4 linked regions of the Saccharomyces cerevisiae S288C genome follow. The protein of the gene in region 4 binds, or shares a complex with, the protein of the main gene of each other region. Each region holds a gene or a part of one and is shown on either strand. Other genes may lie near its edges. A codon is read from its position in the direction of its gene.

What was found.
Region 1: the proteins of VID28 (region 4) and GID12 are in contact, whole or in part, in a cryo-EM structure (PDB 7WUG), measured with the Saccharomyces cerevisiae proteins. Residues at the interface, in NP_012247.3 of Saccharomyces cerevisiae: Gln786 (codon at 1,359), Tyr787 (codon at 1,356), Ala788 (codon at 1,353), Gly854 (codon at 1,155), Glu856 (codon at 1,149), Phe857 (codon at 1,146), Val858 (codon at 1,143), Arg859 (codon at 1,140), Thr860 (codon at 1,137), Ala863 (codon at 1,128); in NP_010105.1 of Saccharomyces cerevisiae: Arg24 (codon at 2,861), Phe26 (codon at 2,855), Arg32 (codon at 2,837), Leu33 (codon at 2,834), Leu35 (codon at 2,828), Glu640 (codon at 1,013), Ile641 (codon at 1,010), Lys658 (codon at 959), Leu659 (codon at 956), Cys660 (codon at 953), Asp661 (codon at 950), Ser662 (codon at 947), Leu663 (codon at 944), Lys664 (codon at 941), Leu665 (codon at 938), Asn666 (codon at 935), Arg667 (codon at 932), Arg670 (codon at 923).
Region 2: the proteins of VID28 (region 4) and VID30 are in contact, whole or in part, in a cryo-EM structure (PDB 7NS3), measured with the Saccharomyces cerevisiae proteins. Residues at the interface, in NP_012247.3 of Saccharomyces cerevisiae: Glu197 (codon at 3,126), His198 (codon at 3,123), Val201 (codon at 3,114), Ser204 (codon at 3,105), Ser205 (codon at 3,102), Leu208 (codon at 3,093), Asp209 (codon at 3,090), Ile211 (codon at 3,084), Leu213 (codon at 3,078), Lys214 (codon at 3,075), Tyr215 (codon at 3,072), Ile216 (codon at 3,069), Val217 (codon at 3,066), Arg218 (codon at 3,063), Leu219 (codon at 3,060), Pro234 (codon at 3,015), Phe235 (codon at 3,012), Asp236 (codon at 3,009), Asn237 (codon at 3,006), Lys238 (codon at 3,003), Gly239 (codon at 3,000), Arg244 (codon at 2,985), Ala245 (codon at 2,982), Lys248 (codon at 2,973), Lys249 (codon at 2,970), Arg279 (codon at 2,880), Lys280 (codon at 2,877), Leu281 (codon at 2,874), Asp284 (codon at 2,865), Phe287 (codon at 2,856); in NP_011287.1 of Saccharomyces cerevisiae: Asn14 (codon at 3,338), Cys15 (codon at 3,335), Ser19 (codon at 3,323), Lys72 (codon at 3,164), Trp75 (codon at 3,155), Ile98 (codon at 3,086), Gln99 (codon at 3,083), Val100 (codon at 3,080), Tyr101 (codon at 3,077), Lys102 (codon at 3,074), Tyr103 (codon at 3,071), Phe104 (codon at 3,068), Tyr105 (codon at 3,065), Pro106 (codon at 3,062), Val108 (codon at 3,056), Phe111 (codon at 3,047), Thr112 (codon at 3,044), Arg114 (codon at 3,038), Phe115 (codon at 3,035), Gly116 (codon at 3,032), Val117 (codon at 3,029), Tyr529 (codon at 1,793), Ala530 (codon at 1,790), Lys531 (codon at 1,787), Asp536 (codon at 1,772), Val538 (codon at 1,766), Lys554 (codon at 1,718), Asn555 (codon at 1,715), Ile557 (codon at 1,709), Leu559 (codon at 1,703).
Region 3: the proteins of VID28 (region 4) and FYV10 are in contact, whole or in part, in a cryo-EM structure (PDB 7NS3), measured with the Saccharomyces cerevisiae proteins. Residues at the interface, in NP_012247.3 of Saccharomyces cerevisiae: Asp70 (codon at 3,507), Ile71 (codon at 3,504), Val72 (codon at 3,501), Gly73 (codon at 3,498), Thr74 (codon at 3,495), Tyr75 (codon at 3,492), Phe77 (codon at 3,486), Asp78 (codon at 3,483), Leu445 (codon at 2,382), Asp448 (codon at 2,373), Phe449 (codon at 2,370), Ile456 (codon at 2,349), Thr459 (codon at 2,340), Thr460 (codon at 2,337), Ser463 (codon at 2,328), His464 (codon at 2,325), Leu468 (codon at 2,313), Pro469 (codon at 2,310), Pro470 (codon at 2,307), Ile471 (codon at 2,304), Tyr472 (codon at 2,301), Phe528 (codon at 2,133); in NP_012169.1 of Saccharomyces cerevisiae: Lys305 (codon at 1,139), Ile308 (codon at 1,130), Phe309 (codon at 1,127), His311 (codon at 1,121), Phe312 (codon at 1,118), Phe313 (codon at 1,115), His314 (codon at 1,112), Lys315 (codon at 1,109), Leu317 (codon at 1,103), Pro318 (codon at 1,100), Arg319 (codon at 1,097), Ile320 (codon at 1,094), Thr321 (codon at 1,091), Ser322 (codon at 1,088).

What each region holds. Positions count from the first base shown.
Region 1 is NC_001136.10:140,236-145,026, reverse strand, and holds GID12 (Gid12p), read right to left. Parts: upstream 2,931-4,791; coding exon 804-2,930; downstream 1-803. Other genes in the region: AIR2 (TRAMP complex RNA-binding subunit), read left to right, coding at 1-543; YDL177C (uncharacterized protein), read left to right, coding at 3,306-3,818; DLD2 (D-lactate dehydrogenase), read right to left, coding at 3,913-4,791. UniProt on the Saccharomyces cerevisiae protein: Regulator of the GID E3 ligase complex. Modulates both assembly of the substrate receptor GID4 into the GID E3 ligase complex and its activity toward its substrates.
Region 2 is NC_001139.9:67,649-73,047, reverse strand, and holds VID30 (glucose-induced degradation complex subunit VID30), read right to left. Parts: upstream 3,378-5,399; coding exon 501-3,377; downstream 1-500. Other genes in the region: OST5 (dolichyl-diphosphooligosaccharide--protein glycotransferase subunit), read left to right, coding at 60-299; SHE10 (She10p), read right to left, coding at 3,717-5,399.
Region 3 is NC_001141.2:178,348-182,477, reverse strand, and holds FYV10 (glucose-induced degradation complex subunit FYV10), read right to left. Parts: upstream 2,052-4,130; coding exon 501-2,051; downstream 1-500. Other genes in the region: BMT5 (25S rRNA (uracil2634-N3)-methyltransferase), read left to right, coding at 1-361; FMC1 (Fmc1p), read left to right, coding at 2,239-2,706; SGA1 (glucan 1,4-alpha-glucosidase), read right to left, coding at 2,825-4,130. UniProt on the Saccharomyces cerevisiae protein: Component of the GID E3 ligase complex recruiting N termini and catalyzing ubiquitination of proteins targeted for degradation.
Region 4 is NC_001141.2:317,252-322,867, forward strand, and holds VID28 (glucose-induced degradation complex subunit VID28), read right to left. Parts: upstream 3,715-5,616; coding exon 949-3,714; downstream 1-948. Other genes in the region: 60S ribosomal protein uL2 RPL2B, read left to right, coding at 1-681; SNL1 (Snl1p), read left to right, coding at 4,203-4,682; aspartyl protease BAR1, read left to right, coding at 5,091-5,616. UniProt on the Saccharomyces cerevisiae protein: Component of the GID E3 ligase complex recruiting N termini and catalyzing ubiquitination of proteins targeted for degradation.

The sequences.
Region 1 (4,791 bases), on a different chromosome or scaffold from region 4:
TATAACTGCGGTGGAAAGGGGCACTTTGGTGATGATTGCAAGGAAAAACGATCATCTAGAGTACCTAACGAGGATGGAAGTGCGTTCACTGGTTCTAATTTGTCAGTTGAGCTAAAACAGGAATATTACCGTCACATGAACAGAAATTCGGACGAAAATGAAGACTATCAATTTAGTGAGTCCATATACGATGAGGATCCACTACCGAGACCTTCCCATAAAAGACATTCCCAAAACGATCACTCTCATAGTGGCAGAAATAAACGTAGAGCATCGAACTTCCATCCTCCTCCTTATCAAAAGTCTAATGTCATTCAACCAACTATAAGGGGCGAGACGCTGTCACTCAATAATAATATTAGTAAAAATTCACGGTATCAAAATACAAAAGTAAACGTCTCGTCGATATCGGAGAATATGTATGGCTCCAGATATAACCCTTCTACTTATGTTGATAATAACAGCATTTCCAACTCTTCCAATTACAGAAACTACAATTCTTATCAACCATATAGGAGTGGTACCTTGGGGAAAAGAAGATAACTTTAAATAGGAAGCCCTTTAACAAGCTGTTCTTGGTTACATTATATTTTCTTAATGAAAGATTAAAGACAATACCTAATTCGACCATTAATCAAAATAGCATGTAAATTTCTTACATCTTCTTGTTGTGAAAAAAAAAGGCCTTCGTGCAATCACAGGTAATAATAATAACATATACATACATATACGTAAATACGTCTTATAACTCCTGCTACCTCATACGCTATTTTCTATTATGGCTAACATCTATGCAACTCAATTTAGTCTCTTTTTACCTTTTTCACAATGAATGTATAAAGGTCCTTTTCATCGTAATCTAACCTTCTTTTTTGTGCATTTAAACCGTCATAATCGATTAGAGCAAGTTTGTCGACAAACCGATCTTTTCTATTTAGCTTTAGTGAATCGCACAGTTTTATTCTTCCTAACCTGCAGTTTTTGAAAAATTCGCCTTTAAGAACAGTTATCTCTCCTGCCATTGATGTTACCACCAAGTGAAACGTAAGGGCGCAAACATTGTCTGTGCCTACGTCTATATCATTAATTATAACAATTGTATCATTAATCAATCCGAAATCATGGGGTATTATCCGAATAGTATCCTTGGAATTCCTTAACAAATTTTTGGTATTTTTTATTTCAAATCTATTTATCAACAAAACTCCATGTGTGTCCAATATAAAGCATAAAGAATCATCCAGCATAAATAATTTCTTGAATGAACATAAATTTCCCAATGCCTGCTTGAATTGAGCTGTCTCATCATCTATCACTTGGCCATCCACCTTCATTTGACTTTCTGCCCACTCTTCTTCATTAGTTCCATTTTCAGAGCCATTTTTGTTCGATAATGAATCGATTTTAATTATTGGTTCATCATAGTACCGAGGTCGGAATGCACTCAACGTGACGAAATGATCGATGCACACAATGTCCATCTTTTTGTAATTATCTGTTAGAAAAGAAGTCATTGTTTCATCACTTTCATCTGTAGTGTTATCATCTTCATTCACCCCATCATTTCCATTTCTATGAGAAATCTTTTCAACAATTTCAAAATCTACCATAAATGTATTCCTTCTTAATCCTCGGATAAAAGAATCTAATTCCCACTTCGTTGAACAGGGTACATCCATTCTTTCTCTAAAAGCGTCTCTAGTTAAGGCTTGAAAAGATTCTCTCCTTCTTCGACTCAGCGGTCTCGGTTCGCTGCTAGCAGTACTGAATGAAGAATTTCGGCGACTACTTCCCAGCATATCTTGAGTGTGGAATAACTCATATATGTCATCTTTAGCGTGACCTTGACGCTGTTTCCAGACGATTCCTGAATCCAGCATTCCTGTTCCAGAATATTTTACAATATCATCCCAAATGGTTGAATTTATAATATCCGTATCGAATGTAAACTTGTTACTAATCCAGCTGAACAAAGAACCAAATCCATTTTGTTGCGCTACGTTGTCCCACGAAAGTATCTCACCGCATGTATCTCCCTGTATACTGTTCTTTAGGCTGATAAAGGTGCTTAAAAATGTAACATAAGTCAATGGTAAAATTATTTTCCTTATAAATAGTGGTGATCGTGGCGATACTGTCATGAAACAAAACCGGTCTAATGGATTTATATGGAATGTGGAAATACCTCGTTCTATATGTAAATACATCGAAGGCCTATATATGGGCAGGCCTTGATACATATTGCAAAACGAAGATACCACGGGTGACGATCTTAAATGGGATGGTTCTATAGGCAAAAGGAAGTAGCAGATATGCTTAGAGCATGACCTTCCAGTGTACCGCGTACTACCTTCAAATAATTTTTCTTCTTCTGAAGAATGTGTTGTATTATTATCGTGATGTACTTTGAAAAAGCAATCTGGAAACATGGGGTTGTACATGTTCTTATACTGAATGTAATCAGTGGGAAGGTTCATTACAAAGACATATATTCGACCGGAGCACATACAACAATATAATAAACCTTGACTATATTCAAGACCAGCGATCATATAGTCACTAAAAAAATTGGATTCGAAATCTTCCGGAGTACATCTAAGGATATAAGAGGGCGCTAATCGCAGGCCATTTTTTATCTTGTATTGATAGTTGCTTATGATTTCAATGAATCCGTTGGATTTAGCCAGCACCATGTAATCACATGAGTCCAAAATATGCGTTGCGTCTGGAGATATTGACGTGTCTCTACCATTAGGCCTTAAATAACAAAACGCTTGTATATTTGCATTCACATCTACTTTTGTACAACCTCTTTCTGATGGGACCAGTGCTAATCGATCGTTTTTAAATTCAAATAACCTATAACCAGACGGTTTACCCTTAGTATTGCAGGGAGTAGAAACAGCAAATTGAATCCTGCCAGTAGCCATCGATAACAAAATGTTCAGATTATGTGGAAAGACGCTTTCTGCGTGTATTTAACAACTCAAAGTAAAACCTATCTTAACCTGGTTTTGTTCTATTAGATGCCATTCAACTATGGGGAAGGTATATTTGGATGTTTGTTAGCAATTTTCAGGAAGGCAAGTACTTAATACCGATCAGCTTACTATTGTTTTTGACCTTAGAGCTCTTTTCAACAAAGCTTCGCATTGTGAAAAGCAGACCCAAAACGGCAACTGAGAAAATACGGCACTGTGGAAATAAGTCATGCATCAATCATCAGCTGTAAAAAACCTTTAGAAAAGACATTATACAGATTCTTAGATAGGTATTGATGTTTGGTATTACTATTTTTTGGAGAAATGAGTAAGAATGTTGGTAAGCTAGTGAAAATATGGAATGAATCAGAAGTTTTAGTTGATAGAAAATCGAAATTTCAAGCAAGATGTTGCCCATTACAAAATCAAAAGGATATACCCTCCATACTCCAAGAACTAACGCAAAACAACAAAAGCGTCTCCAAGGCATCCCACATGCACATGTATGCCTGGAGAACGGCCGAGGTATCAAATAATTTGCACTTACAACAAGAGCAGAAAAAGAAGGGCAATAAAGCAAATAAGAGTAATAATAGTCATGTTAACAAGTCAAGGAACATAACGGTGCAGCCAAAGAACATTGAGCAAGGATGTGCTGACTGTGGCGAAGCTGGTGCTGGACAGCGTTTATTGACCTTACTTGAAAGAGCAAACATATTCAACGTCTTGGTAATAGTGACCAGATGGTATGGTGGCACGCCTTTGGGCTCATCAAGATTCAGACACATTTCAACATGTGCAGTGGAAACCTTAAAGAAGGGTGGATTTCTTCCTTAAATATCACCCTTACCATATAATATACACAATTGTAGAATATAATATTGATAAATATATACATATGTAGATAACTATAAAACTTGGCATTTTATTTTCAAATGTATTTGTAAGGGTTTAAAATTCCATTAGGATCATAATGAACCTTCAAATCCTTCATCATCTTGACCTCTTCCGGGCTCTTAGAATAGCCAATGTAATTTTTCTTTTGGAAACCTAGCCCATGTTCGGCACTAACGGAACCATGTTTTGAGGAAACAAACTCGTAGACAAATGGTTCCAAAGTCTTTTCAATGTTCTTGTTGTACTCTCTAACTGCAACATTTAAGTGTAGATTACCATCACCCACGTGACCGTATCCAATGGCGCCCACCACTGGTTTGGGCGAATCACCCACTAATTCAGCTTCAGAAAGTCTTGCATTAGTGGCTTCAACCAAAGAATATAGGTCCTTTAGTGGTAAAGAAACATCGTATTTGTAAACACCACCATTAGCTTGACTTGCCTCTGGAATCATTTCTCTCCACTTCCACAAGTTTTGGAGTTCGGTTTCATCTTGTGCCACTACACCATCCGTTACTATGCCCTCTTCCATGACGTTTTCTAAAAATGTTTCAAGTTTGGAATCATCGTGATCTTTGTTTGACCCTGACGTTTCGATAAGAATATAAAATGGATGCTCATCCTCCAAAGGGAAGGCAGCATCCTTCAATTGGCTCTTGGCCAATACTTGAGATTTAGCATCCATAAATTCAAAAGCGGATAAAATCTCAGATAATTCTTGCCTGGCTCTGACGAAGACTTTTTGAACGTCTTCAAAACTTTCAACAGACAAGTAAGATACATTAAACGCTTTTGGCTTAGGAACAGTCAAGATTGAAACACCAGTGATGATACCGATAGTACCTTCTGAGCCAATGAACAGCTGTTTCAGATCATAACCGGTGTTGTCTTTTCTCATGGAATGCATGCTATT
Region 2 (5,399 bases), on a different chromosome or scaffold from region 4:
TCATAATTACTAACAAGTATAGCCAATTCGCCTTCTCGGCATTTGTGTAATCACTTAAGAAAGAGTTCCATTCCTCAAAGAGCTTCCAGCCATTTATCCACTTAGACACTCAACCAAAATTTGCAATTTGTGGTTTAATCGTTACATTAGCTGTATTATCATCTGCCCTGTTCGCCGTCGGTTCTAAATCTTCATACATTAAGAAACTCTTCTTCTACACAATTTTAAGTGTAATTGGCAGCTTGTTTGCTGGCTTGACCACTGTTTTTGCTTCGAATTCTTTCGGTGTCTACGTCTAGTGGCTCTTCGTTGGCCTATAAAGGAATTATCGATGAAATTATATACTATACTTAAGAAGTATTTTGGATGAGAATATTAAAAAGAAAGGTGTCAAGTAAATTTCATTATATAAACGGTTTAAGACATATTAATATGCGATTTTTGGGAAGATAATGACTGATATCACATGGCTTTGTTGTTTGAAGGTGCTTGTTTTATGCTCATAAATTCAACACATCTTCGTCGAAGTTAATAGCTTTGTAATATCTTGGATCTGAAGAGTTGGTTGAACCGAACGCGTTATACTCAAGTAATGTAGAAAGCATAGCTCTAGTGTTTGATATTACATTCTCTAATGCGCATTCGCTATCCTTATGTAAAAATGTTAGTATTGTGTTGTTACTAACTTGAAATAATCTCTCTTGTAAGTATTCGTCACTCAAATATCCTGATATCTCCTTTGGTGCCTCCACAAGTGGATTGGAATATGCTAACAATGCAGAGACATTACTCAATTGTCCACTAAACCTATCCCTCAAAGATTGTGGAATTTTAGTATCGTAGATAAATTCATTAGATAATTCTTGACCCTTCAAAATTAAATTTTCAATTTCGTCATCATCTTTGGATGAACTCTTTTTAATCATCACCAGATAATTCGCTAGTTTTAACTCAAATACCAATTCTAGATTATTTTTTAACAGATCTGGAATTTCGTTATCGATATAATTGATGCATTTGCTAATTTGACCTTTGTTTATCAAGTATCTTAATTCTTGCCTTATCTTTACCATACGTTCTTCTTTCATGATCTGTCTTTCATTGTGCCTGATAACATCTTTACTTTCAGAATGTTGCCCATTGACATTAACCGCATCTTTTTGCAAATCTTTCAAAAACCCCTTTGCAACATCCACCAATCCTTCGTGGATCAAATAATCATTTATCATCACGTTTAATGTATTAGGCAATGAACCGTCATCCACGCTTAAGTTGTTAATATTGTTCACGTCTGGTCTAACTAGCTTTCCATCTATAAACCTATTATCTTCTCCCAAAAGAAACTTCAGATTGTTGTCCTTCTCATCGTTAAGCTTCTTTGTATCCTTATTACCAGCGGCACCATCCTCTTGATCAATATCCATCAAATCTTCATTAACGTTTGTTGATTTATTTTCTTCAGGCCCATTTTCAGTTTCATCTTCCTCACTTTCATCAGAGTCGAATTCTTCAATTGAAACGTCCATTTGGCGTCCACGACAAATATGCTCATACGCCAAACTCTTCCATTTATCTTGATATCCAATAATGTCAAATACAAAATCCTCATTTAACCCAAAATTTGTTTTGATAGAATTCCCAGGTCGTAAGGCCACATATGGGACGAATTCTAGATCATTCAAGTCGGTGAATGCGTTACCTAAATGGATACCATTCTTCGTGAAAAAAATTGAGCCATCGATAAAATTTATGCCACAACCAATAACGTCATCCCTACCAAAAGGCTTAGCATATTCCTTAGATTGTTCTGTAGAATTAGTTATCAAACCGTCAAATCCGCAATAGCCAAATACATTAAGATCAAATCCGTATTTCTGACACTTATTTATGGAACCATCCACGTTAAGAGACATGGCTGAAACGCCCCCTTCATAAATATAATCACGCCTTTGAGTACCTTCCATAGTGAAAGAAGTAGAAGGTACTCTATTGGAACTCATGTTATTACTACCACCTAAGCTACTACTAGAACCGGCCACGCTTGAACGAGAAACACTCTTTTTTGTAGTCGCTTCCATTAATTCATTCTCTACTAACTTGTATCCGATAACAATGTTACTATTTTCAGCACTCTCTGTACTCGTTACACTGAGAACTTTAATCTCGTAATAGAATATAGTTAACTTATTGTCTGGCAATGACTTATTTGCCCAAGTGACTGCAAAGTCCACTTTCCCAGAGTTCTCAAAAGAGGTTCTCAGTCTATTTCTGGTAGAGGCAGAAGAAGCGCTTGATCTTTCATAAGTCATGTATGAGTGATAATCAGGATTAGGTTGTAAATGAGTAATACCATCTTGAGATAGCTGCAAGCTGTTATTTGGTTGAGCTTGCCATCTAGAAGGTAAAAAGTACCCAAGTATTTTGTAAATATCAGGGATCATTGAGTTTTTCTTTTTGCTACCACTGTTGGACAAAACATTTGTTGCCTCATTGTCATTTTTGTCGTTACCAGACGATACTCTAGGAGAAGAAAAGGAAGAACTTGGAGACTGATCAGGGGGGTAGTATTGTAGACCACTGTTCTTGTCAGATGTATCCCACAAATTCCTTGATTCTGTTTCTATATTAATAGCTGATCTAGATCTTTGATATATCCATGGGTCCGCAACCCTTTCGGCACGCTGCTGTGCACTGGACACATCAGCATCAGCTCCTCTACTTCCTTCTTCTCCACCTTCCTCGTGATTGTCAGAGCCATCTCCTTCGTTGTTATCGTCCGTGTCAGTATCCACTTCCCCTTCTAAGCTTTCCAGATCGGATTCATCGTCGTCGTCGTCATCGTCATCGTCATCATCGTCATCATCATCATCGTCATCATCATCGTCATTTCTGTCATTTTCCAGGCTGGTATTAGAGTTAAGCGCCATTTCACGTTCGGATAAAACGGGTTCTAATAGTTCCTGAGCATTTTTCCTCATGTCTGAGGAAGCTTTCATAACTCGCACTGAATTTTTATTTGAATCTTTAACACCAAATCTCAAAGTAAAATCATTAACGTCTGGATAGAAATATTTATAGACTTGAATCAGGTAATCGTCGTTGACAGCTTCAAACGAAATTGTGCCTAGAACACCCAAATTCATCAATTTAGACCAGATTTCTTTCCTTGTTAAAGCAGTTAACTTTGTCCTGCCCATTCCAACGCCAGTGGGATTTTCATCAGCGTTGATTAAGTTAGTGTTCTTCAGTTTGTGAAAGAGTTTTCTATGTTGCAAATATAAAATCCATAAATCATAAGCCACAGGCTGTTGCAGCAAGTAGCTCGGGAACAAACAGTTAATGAATTCGCGGTCTACGTCATCCATATATTCAGACATTTCCTCTTAATTATGCTGAAATTCGACGCTTGGCTTTAACGTACTACTAATATTTCTGCTATAACAGTAACAGTTCTGGTCCAATCCTTTGGCTCTTTCTTTTGGTTGATCGATTCATCAGTTCCCTCCCCTGAAAGGCTCGCGCGTCCTGTAATCTAGCAAAAATAGGCAGGATACAAAATACAGTGGAGTGGTAATATTATATTCTTATATGGCTATATATGTTTATATATAAAGGTAAAGACAAACAATAAAGAACATACATATATATATAGATAGATATTGTGTGTGTGTGTGTGTGTGTGTGTGTGTGTGTGTATAGCAAGCGCATGAATTTCATCACAATGTCATGGTAATGGTTGTGGTGATGGTCGAAGTAGAGGTGTAGGATACGTCTTCTTCGTCTTCTTCTTCCTGTTGTCGTAATAGCTCCTGCTGCCTTTGGAACTCTTCTGCTGCAGCTTTTTCACGCTCTTTTCTTTCACGTTCCTTTCTTTCACGTTCCTGAAATTGCAGGTTGGCTTTCGATCTTAGAATATACAAAAACTCACCACTCTCTTGAGTGAACGATAATATCTTCTTTTGCACTTTTTGCCTAAACGCGTTAACACGGGATAAGTCAGCGGAATGGTGAGCCAGCTTGTCTCTAGATTCTATGATCTGTTTCTTGCCCTTCAAAAACTTCTTCCAGTTAACAGAAGACTTTGCTTTCTCTTCATCAAGCGTAGTGTCATCATCTGCACCCATGTGAGCGTTGATAACATCCACATAAGCCATTCTTTTGGACCATTCATTTACAATGATATCACCCCATTCTTCAAATACCTCGACGTTTTCCTCTCTAATTGCATTAACTTTTTTTTCAATTTCATCAGTGATTTCGCTCAAATCTTTCTCCATAGCATTTGTCAGTTCGTCTAACGTCGAGCGCGTCTCGTTGAAGTACTCACGAACTAACTCTCTCGTTATGTACTGAGAAATCTCAGTACTTCCAGATTTATCGAAGAAAATTTTCTTGCCAGTTTCACTATCAATGCCTTCCACACATTCAATATCGTTAATGGCTAGCGAAATCTTGGAGAAGAACTTCTTAGATTTATCATCTAAAGATTGAAACTTGGCTTTAAAATGGTTGGCCTCCTCAACCAATTTACCATTGATGTATTTGGAAACATCCTTTTCAAATAGCTGTATGACGTCTTGTGTTTTCTGCAATATAGTCTCACTCCACATGTCAAAATCCTCTTGCAACAGAGCCTGTTCATTGACATTGACGTCTGTGGAGCCTTCAACGTCTGTGGAAGCCTCATCGTCGTGCGCATGATTAGCAACAGCGCTAGCCTCTTCCTGGTCCAAAGTAATTGTTTCAACCACTGTTTGAGTACTTGTTGTAGTTAGCTCCTCTTCGTCAGACTCCATAGTACTTACGGTTAAAACCATGTCCTCCGAGGAAGGCTCACGTGTGACAGAACCATGAATGCCATGCGTGTCCTTATTCTTGAACTTTCCCATTAATTTTTCCTCTGTATTACCAACAATAAAGTCGTATTTGGATTTGATGCATCTTGAAGTGATAGTAAAGTAATAATGGCCTATATTTTTATACTTTAAAATTCTTTCCTTCAAATGAGAGCGAAACTCCGCAGTAAAGAATTTGTCTAAGTTAGGTTTCACAAAAGCATTGTATTTTGCGAAGAAAAATCGTCTAGTCTTGACCATTGGGGAGCGGACCAATTGGTAATACTTTCCACAGTTCCATTTCTTACATTGTGAATGGATGACCTTGAATGCAGGCTGTATAGCGACCTTGTTCACTTTTACTGTAGCGTCATCGATGACAGGTTTGACAGCCGTGTCATATTTACGCGCCACTATATCGAAACCGGGACTAACTTTATTTTTGTATAATTCACAATTTCTTGAAAAGTAGGTGTTCCAGACTCTTGGATTGGTATAATGGCAAAGCGTTTGCGTGCGTTCACACGATATGCTCCCACTATTGAATTCGCAACAGTACTGAAG
Region 3 (4,130 bases), 140 kb from region 4:
TCAAAATGATACTCTTCGTTATACGCAAGGCTATGATCTTAATGAGGATACTCCCCAGGCTAAAAAATTGACCGCCGAAGGTTATGGTAACATCATACTGTCCCTTTTCGATGGAGAGCCCTATGATTCATGGCAAATCAAACTTTTAGCCAAAAAAAATGGACTAACTCTGAGCAGATCGAGCAAATTCCAATGGGAAAATTTTCCAGGATATCATCACCGGAGAACGAATAGCGAACAAGATACTACAAAACCTGCGAAAGAACGTGATGCTAGGTTCTACATCTTTAGTAAATATGTCTCGAATAGTTCAAAACATAACCGTAAAAGCAAAAAAGACACAGATTCTGATTCAGACTAAGTACAGAAGGAAGAATGTCGCCATGTTGATGAAAGAACTTTCATTTTCCCTAATTCTTATATAGCGTAAGTATCTGTAAAATAGTTGTGAAAGTTGGACAAATCTTTATATAAAAAAATGCATATAGCTTGAAACTATTTCAGGTTGGGTACATTTTGATAGAATCTGATTCGCAAAATATTTTCATGTCAACTGGATCCATAATTTGACCTGGATTTAAAGAAATTAAGTTTTGCTTTTTCAATGTTTTGGCCAATTTCTTCAATTTTTTACTGTCGTAAACATTTCCATTTGGTAATAGTATTGGATTTTCAAATAATTGAGACTGAATGTGATGAGCAAATGGTAATGCCTGTGTTATTGGTTTGAAAGTCTCACTGCAAACGGGACAATTTTTCCTTTTTAGTGAATGTAGCGTAAAGAGTTGTAAATCTTCAACTTCTTTCTCTGCTGTTGTGGCAGTTTCCGTCTCTTGATTTCCATTTTCATCGTCAGAAGGGTGCAGGCAATCTCTTGTCTTCAAAGACGATATACCTAGTGACAGGTATATCAATAAAGGGTCATTTTGTGATATGCCATACATGGAATAAAAGTCGCTCAAGAATAAATCATTTAATACCGACCATCTTTGATCATCTAATAAATTCAGATATCTTTCGAAATCTCCACTTTGTAAATTTATTAAGGAACTCTTGTCATAGTCTGTTGTATTCACCGCAGGTTTGGAGGTAATTCTAGGTAAAGATTTGTGAAAAAAATGTTGAAATATTCGATCTTTCTTCATTGGTAAACTTTGAGACTTAATCTCTTCAGTATCGAATCCAGAGCTGGTAGAAGAAGTTGGCTTTTGATCATTACAGTATTTGATAAAAATCAGAAGTCCAGATGCTAATTTTAAATCGGTGAAGTTGCTCTTAACGAATGGTAAAAGGAATCTTTGAAAACATACTATAGCGTCGGTATAGTTATCCACCTTTAGTAGTTCAATATATTCTTGCAATCTTGCTTGAAACTCTAATATAGAGGACTTTTTGGTCAGTGTCTTTTTGTTCTCGTTTATCCATGAAATTAGGGGTAAGAGATTACGCTCATGTAGTAACGAAGTCGAAATTCTATTAGCCTCCAAGAGGACATCATAATCAATGAGATCATCCAGTTGGCTCTGTTTCAAAAACACTACGCCAGAGTTCCAATGATCCTTTGTCTCCGAGTTGTATTTAATCGGGTTATTCCTCGTCAGATAATCACCAATTAAAATGTTTGTATAACTCTGATACCACTGTATCAATTTAGTCCTGGTACCCTCATTATTTCCATTGTGCGATGTTCCTGAATTTTGTGACTTGATGTCCTTCAGTTCGTGGAAAAACTCCAGCCTTTTTTTAATTCTGTTCAAAATCTGACAGTAGGACTTGATTTGCGTATTTAAAAATCTTTCTATATGGTCAACTTTCCTAATCATTTCAGTTATTTTTGCTAGTGCCAACTCGTCGTGCTCAACGTCATTATGTTCAAATATTTGATTTAATGCGGCCGTGTGTTCATGTAGTGATTTGGTTTCCTTATTAATTACCGCTTGAGTATGCTTGATACGTTTGGACAGTAGTTCATAAGGAATATGAAATAATTGTTGATTTAATTTCAAATGGAAATCCACATCAGGCTCATTAAATATTGATTTCTCTGCCATGGCTTACCTACTTTCCTATAATTTATAATCATTTTCTCTGTTTTATGTATGAAATTGTAGATTTAACCACCCCCTTCTCTTCGCCTTTGCAAAAAGTGAATATCTCAAATTGCACTAGAGTTTCATTTGCAGCGATAAGTGGATAACAAAAAGCTGAAAAGAGAGAGAAAGAGAGAGTGCCAGGGAAATGGATAGACCAAGAACATTACGCACATATAGAGGACTCATAAGAGCCATTCTGAAATATGAAAGGCCAAGCAAGATAGTCAATTGGGGCAATCTACGAAAGGCAATGATAACAAAGTTGGAATATGCTAAGAAACAAAATCAGAGAGACTCGCATGAGAACATCAACAGACAGTTAGAGAAATGGAAAAAACTAGATCCGGTAAGCGACAGATCTTTGAATTTGTTTATAGCCGACTCTAAGTCATTACGTTCCATATTACAAAACGATATAAAGTGGGAGAAAAAGGTGGCCCAGGGACAAAACGTTGACGAGATATTCGAACACGCTTTGGACATCATCAAGTTCTTGGACAACCAAAGAGAATACGAGGAGCTGGTCGACAGATACAATCCTGGCAACAAGTTGACACAGGATGAGAAAGTGAAAAGAACTGCAAACGTGGTTGGGCTGGACGTTCCGACATAGTATCTAATCAATTTATAATATCAGAGTTTTGTAAATAAGTATATATATATATTTGATGTAAATATCTAGGAAATACACTTGTGTATACTTCTCGCTTTCCTTTTATTTTTTTTTTTGTCTACAAACTCTGTAAAACTTCTTGTCTTATTTGATAGGCATCCCAGAATGAAGTATAGGACCAGGTAAGGTGTTGGGCACCCTGCATAAACCCTGTGTATTTGTTAAATTGTTCACTTAGTTCCCCGTCTGTTCCCACGTGAGCTTTCAGCTTGACCAAGAATGAATCAGCTAGTTGGAAGATTTTTTGTATGGTTTGATTGAAGGCAGGTGTATTGAACTCCAAAATCAAATAGCCTTCGTCATTTCCCAAAGTCGTGAGGTTGGAGAATACCAGCTCGCTCCAAAATGCGTTCGAACAATCGTTGTTCATTGGGACAACCAAGTCATGCTGCTCAGAGATGTGTCTGTAAATGAGCTGATAAAGCGTTGTTGAAGCGGTACACGTGGCCAGGACCCAGGGATTTCCCTCGCCAAAGCCATATCCATCATATACGTCCTCAGGATACCGGCCCAGGGCAATACCCGTTGCATTTTTGGAGCTATCGTTGATGGGGTATATCGAACGCATGTGCAACATCAAATGGTGCAACGTGTTCAGGACGGCAGGGTCATTGATATCGAACGGAAGATGGGAAGCAGATGGCGCATCGTGGACGGTGTTCGCAGCTAATAAAGTGGATATGTCCAGTCCGGATCTCAATGTGTCGGCAATCATGGGTGTCCCAACAATATAATTGTACTTGCCGTTGATAAACCCATTCGCAGGGTCCACTAAAAACTTGGAGATGTCCCGGCGTGTCTGACGCAATTCTTCAACAAAGGGAGACGACCGTTCTGAGGCGTTAAAATACGACAGCGACTTGTCCACTGCAGACAGTTGTACCAGTAAAGTAAAGAAATGCATGCCATTGACTTCCTCCCATAGATCAAATCCGGAAGAATTCCAGTGGTCAATAATGAACCTCAGGTCCCAACGTACAATATCATCAAAGATATCTGCGGTGGACTGGAATGGGTACTTGGCCCCCAGATCAGTGCCAGATTGCTTGATGTAGTCGATGATTTTTAAGATGGCAATGCTTCGAAGAGCAGGCCCATCGTTTTGAGGACGACCCCAATCTTCCGTGAAAGCCGTGTTGTCGACGTTCCACTTAGGGTCTCCCAAAGCCACTGTATCGTTAGTGTAACCAATGCCAGCGCCCAATGTGTTGTTGCTTCTTTGCAAGTGGAATGAAACGTTCAGGTACTGCAATAACGTCTCTATTGCCGGGCCCGCAGAATGAGAGACAATACTGTTTATCGTCAACGCGCTGTCCCTTATCCATTGGTAGAAGTAGTCTGGATGCGTTTGCGATGGTGACGCA
Region 4 (5,616 bases):
TTGAGAACTTTGGACTATGCTGAACGTCATGGTTACATCCGTGGTATCGTTAAGCAAATTGTCCACGACTCCGGTAGAGGTGCTCCATTGGCCAAGGTTGTTTTCCGTGACCCATACAAGTACAGATTACGTGAAGAAATCTTCATTGCTAACGAAGGTGTTCACACTGGTCAATTCATTTACGCTGGTAAAAAGGCTTCTTTGAACGTCGGTAACGTCTTGCCATTGGGTTCTGTCCCAGAAGGTACCATTGTCTCCAACGTTGAAGAAAAGCCAGGTGACAGAGGTGCCCTAGCCAGAGCTTCTGGTAACTACGTTATCATCATTGGTCACAACCCAGATGAAAACAAAACCAGAGTCAGATTACCATCCGGTGCCAAGAAGGTTATCTCTTCTGACGCCAGAGGTGTCATCGGTGTCATTGCCGGTGGTGGTAGAGTTGACAAACCATTGTTGAAGGCTGGTCGTGCTTTCCACAAGTACAGATTGAAGAGAAACTCTTGGCCAAAGACCCGTGGTGTTGCCATGAATCCAGTTGATCACCCTCACGGTGGTGGTAACCATCAACATATTGGTAAGGCTTCTACTATCTCTAGAGGTGCCGTTTCTGGTCAAAAGGCTGGTTTGATTGCTGCCAGAAGAACCGGTTTACTACGTGGTTCTCAAAAGACCCAAGATTAATCTTTTTAATTTTGGTTTCTTCCTTCTGTCATATTATTTTATCAATTTTCTTAAATATTATATAATTTAATCCGAAACGTTCCTTATAAAGTGATATTTCTATGCATACTTTTTTTTCTTTGACATGAGAATAAATTCAGCCAGCTACTTCCTATCACAGAAATTTTAGTTAAACGTAAGCTTGCAGTTATGGATTCTTCTGCGAAAATACTATTTAAAAAACTATAGCATAAATTAATTGTAGGAAATACTACGAGTTCTGTGCATTCATTTAACTTTCAAAAGCAGGTCCATGTGATATAGTAACGTTCTGGCCTTTTCCCTGACAGATAATGATTCGTCTGTAATATTTTTTCTAACCAGATCGTATAATCCTACCTCCACGAGTTTTCTACATCTTTCCACCGTGGCACGTGTTACTTGTACATTTGATGTACTACCTTTTGCAGCCGGGGTGCGAACGAACTCATCGCCTTCATCATCACCCTCATCATTATCGTCATCTTCATCATCATTCGCATTGCTACTGCTATCATCGCCATCTGGCTCATCGTAGTATTTCCCCCTAGAATATCCACCAGCCACTGATTCATTATACCCGATTGTCACCGTAGATTGAGGGTTTTCTGAATCACTTGGTGAATGCCCTGGTTCCAGACCATTTTCAATTGCATATTGGGTATAATGTGAAACTGATGAATTCCAAAGTAAGTTATTGAGTACCCAGAGGCATGCCAATTTCAGATTGCTGTCATTACCATTACTTGAACTATCAGTCGTTGTTTCTACCAATATTTCACTCATAATGTTCAATATTTCGTCTTGTTCGATGACTAGCTGCTTTTTATTCTCATTGACTGCCGCTAGATTCACGATAATATATAGGATGCCTTCCATTGCTTTCTTTTGTTGAGTGTCTAATGGATTTAAAAGCCTCATCTTCTTTGCAAGAAATTCGAAAAGATACGTTGAGCCGATGCTAATTTTATTACCTGTTTGAGGATCGATCTTGTATTCTACATCTTTAAATTTTTCCAAAAGAATATTTACAATTTTCCTTGAATTACAAGTCAAATTTCTGAGCAACTGAAAACATTGGGCTTGTACTGCCCAACATGGATCATTAATAAAATCCAAAATTAAATTCATCGGGATTTTGGCCAAAAGCTGAAACTTCTCTTCATTCTGGCAATTGTACATTAGATGCCTTAGTACCCATAAAGAGTTTGCCTTCACTTCATGCACAGGTATGCCTTGCAATGCAATCCTTCTTTCATCTTCATTATCGTCCCAGGCTTTTTTTGAGTTAAACAATGGATCTGTTAACATCTTTTCAATTATATCGATTATACCGTTTCTCAGCATAAATGACTGTAAATTAGAGAACTCCACCACGAAGTTACAAATACTACCCAGAGTAATGCCCATAATCATAATTTCCGGTTTCATAAAATCTTGTCCAGCAAAATAGCATTCCTTGGTCAACGTATATGTTTTACTTAGTATCTGTAAAAGCAGCTGTGCAATTTTATTTCTCTTCAACGTCGTCCTAAGCGCTGAAACACTTCTCGAGAATGATTTCAACAATAGTAACCAAGCTGCCACGAAATCGTGATCATATATTGGGGGTAAACACATAGAATGACTTTCCGTAGTTGTTTCCTTTATCTCATCTTTCAAAGATATAAAATCCTGTATCAAAGTAATGTGGGATTCCAACCCGTATTCTAAATGATTCAACAACAATGTGTCATTCAACAGTAAAAGACGGTATTTTTCGTCCGATGCTGCAAATGACGCACATATTTTAATGAATTTTGTAGTTGTTTTCAAAGTAGCTTCATTGTGTTGTGGTAGAGAAAGACACTGCGCAAAACGGGATAGAATGCAAAATATAACGTTTGTATGAGCTAGCGTGGTGAGCACAGGATTATTCATTGGAGTAATTTCATTATACAACACAATCAATGAATCCAGCATATCGAATGGATCAAACCACCAAGGCAACGGGTCATAATTAAATGACTTAACTAAATAGGGTAGTATTTTCTCGAGTGTACGCGTATCTTCCCATTTCTTATCCTCTGTAAAGTACGGTTGTAACAAAAACTTCAGGGCCACGCACCTAATGTTAACGTCATTACTCTTCAAAAGACCCAGAACGAACATCTTGAACGTCGCATCATTCCGCAGTTTCCTATCACCCGGTATCATATAATGATATCTTAGATATAGAAGGAGTGCCAATGAGAGTAAACTAGAATCATACATGTTTGAGATATTGATTTTTTTAGGTATGGCACGGGTGCAGTCGACCCCTTTATTGTCAAACGGATCGTTCTTGACGCTGGATGGTGACGCTGGCCTGGATACTTTTAGCCTCACTATATACTTGAGGCTTATTTGGTCCAAGTACTTCGATGATATTTTAACTATTATGTGTTCAAGGGATTCTGCCATTTTAAAATCTTGGTAGTGTGAAGTTTCTGTCACTTCTCTCTCTTCCTCCATAAACTTGCTCTTGTTGAAGTCGCTGCAATTTTTCTCGTCCACAAGTAAAAACAACTTCAATAATTCAATAATCGTGACCACCTCATCAATTTTACATTTGCTCCTCAAAAATTTATGGTTGACTAACTGGATGAACCCGTTCTGGAGGTATTGCAAGTCTGGGAATCCGCAATTTGGATAAACTCCTGCACACAAATTTAGAAGCTTTATGTACTTATAGTTTGTCGAAGAATTATTTTTAGTAAAACTGCTTGCCAAACTCATGGACTTATAGATTGCGGACACAATATCAAAGTAATATGTGCCTACTATATCCCTTTGTTGCGGTTCTAGATGTAAAAGGGTATATAGCAGATCTAATTTCGCATTTTTTAACTCTACACCGTCACTTTGCTCAATGGACAACAAACATTGAAAAATCTGGCACTTTGGAGCCAAAAAGTAATCTACCTTAGCCAACTGGTCTCCCACCAGGGAATTACTAATCTTTTTGAGATTCTCTAGGGAATAAGCCACCGTCATAGTGTAACTGTAATATATCACCAATCTAACACGAGGGCAATGATACAGGAAAACTGCAAGTTTCCGCCATGAAGATCATCCTCTTAGGCCGCAGTTTGTAGTGATATCCCTATAAAACGTATTATAATCTAATTAGTTTAGTTCGCGCCCCTTCAGTCTAATCACTTATAACGGATGACGAATATAAGGTCAAAAGCTTCATACACAAGCAAAACCATTTATGCTACCTGCAATTCAATCGGCAAGCATGCTTTTTCAAGAGCGCATATGGACTTGAAGGAGAGCCATAGCTAGAGGGGTTTTTAAATGGAAGACTTGTGCTCATCTAATTCAATTTGCCTTTACTATCATTTGGTCGATATTGAAAAAAAATATCGCGAACTGACATAACCAGTAGAAAAAAAGATGGAATCAGCTCTGTAGTGCTGGTTTCAATCCTGTTTGTTGGTGAAAAAATAGCACCAGAAGGGCAATTGTACGTTTCCGTAATGTCGCACAACGCAATGGAACATTGGAAGAGCAAGCTGAGCAAAACAAGTACCTCGACGTACGTCCTCTTGGCCGTGATTGCTGTTGTATTTTTGGTTACAATCAGAAGACCCAATGGCAGCAAGGGAAAAAGCAGTAAAAAGAGGGCTTCTAAAAAGAACAAGAAAGGTAAGAATCAGTTTGAAAAAGCGCCGGTTCCTCTGACTCTAGAAGAACAAATTGACAATGTGTCGTTGAGATACGGCAACGAGTTGGAAGGTCGTAGCAAGGATCTAATAAACAGATTTGATGTGGAAGATGAAAAGGACATCTACGAGCGTAACTATTGCAACGAAATGCTTTTGAAGTTGCTGATTGAGTTAGACAGTATCGATTTGATTAACGTGGATGAGTCCTTAAGAAGGCCGTTGAAGGAAAAAAGGAAAGGCGTCATAAAGGAAATTCAGGCTATGTTAAAAAGTTTGGACTCTCTTAAATAAGTTTGTATTTTTAGTTTATAGATAACGGCTCTTGCCGAATTCATAGGCTGCACTCATTCCGGTACGGTACACATTTGTTGCATTTATTATATTAGAGATGCGTTGTCCCTGTTTTTCTACCTCCGACATCATGCTGAAACATGGCATGTAATTACCGTAAAAGGAAATTACATGGCGAGTGTCACATAATAGCGACAATAACATGTATACACAGCCAGCTATTCTGAAACACACCACATTATAGTTATTGAATGTGTGTGTTTTTTGATAACAGTATAAAAGTGAAGAGAAAGCACGTCGAGCCTTGTCATGATGAATTCTTTAATGATCTTCGCGTGATTTAATTCTAGTGGTTCGTATCGCCTAAAATCATACCAAAATAAAAAGAGTGTCTAGAAGGGTCATATAATGTCTGCAATTAATCATCTTTGTTTGAAACTTATTTTGGCGAGTTTCGCGATTATTAACACCATTACTGCTTTAACAAACGATGGCACTGGTCACTTAGAATTCCTTTTACAACACGAAGAGGAGATGTATTACGCAACAACCTTAGATATAGGTACACCGTCCCAAAGTCTGACAGTGTTGTTTGATACCGGATCTGCCGATTTTTGGGTTATGGATTCTAGCAATCCCTTCTGCTTACCAAATTCAAATACGTCATCCTATTCAAACGCAACTTATAATGGCGAAGAAGTTAAGCCTTCAATTGATTGCAGGTCTATGAGTACTTATAATGAGCATAGATCTTCCACCTACCAATATCTGGAAAATGGTAGGTTTTACATCACATATGCTGACGGAACATTTGCTGACGGTAGTTGGGGGACGGAAACTGTATCAATTAATGGAATTGACATCCCCAATATCCAGTTCGGAGTTGCCAAGTATGCTACGACACCCGTTAGTGGTGTTCTTGGAATTGGGTTTC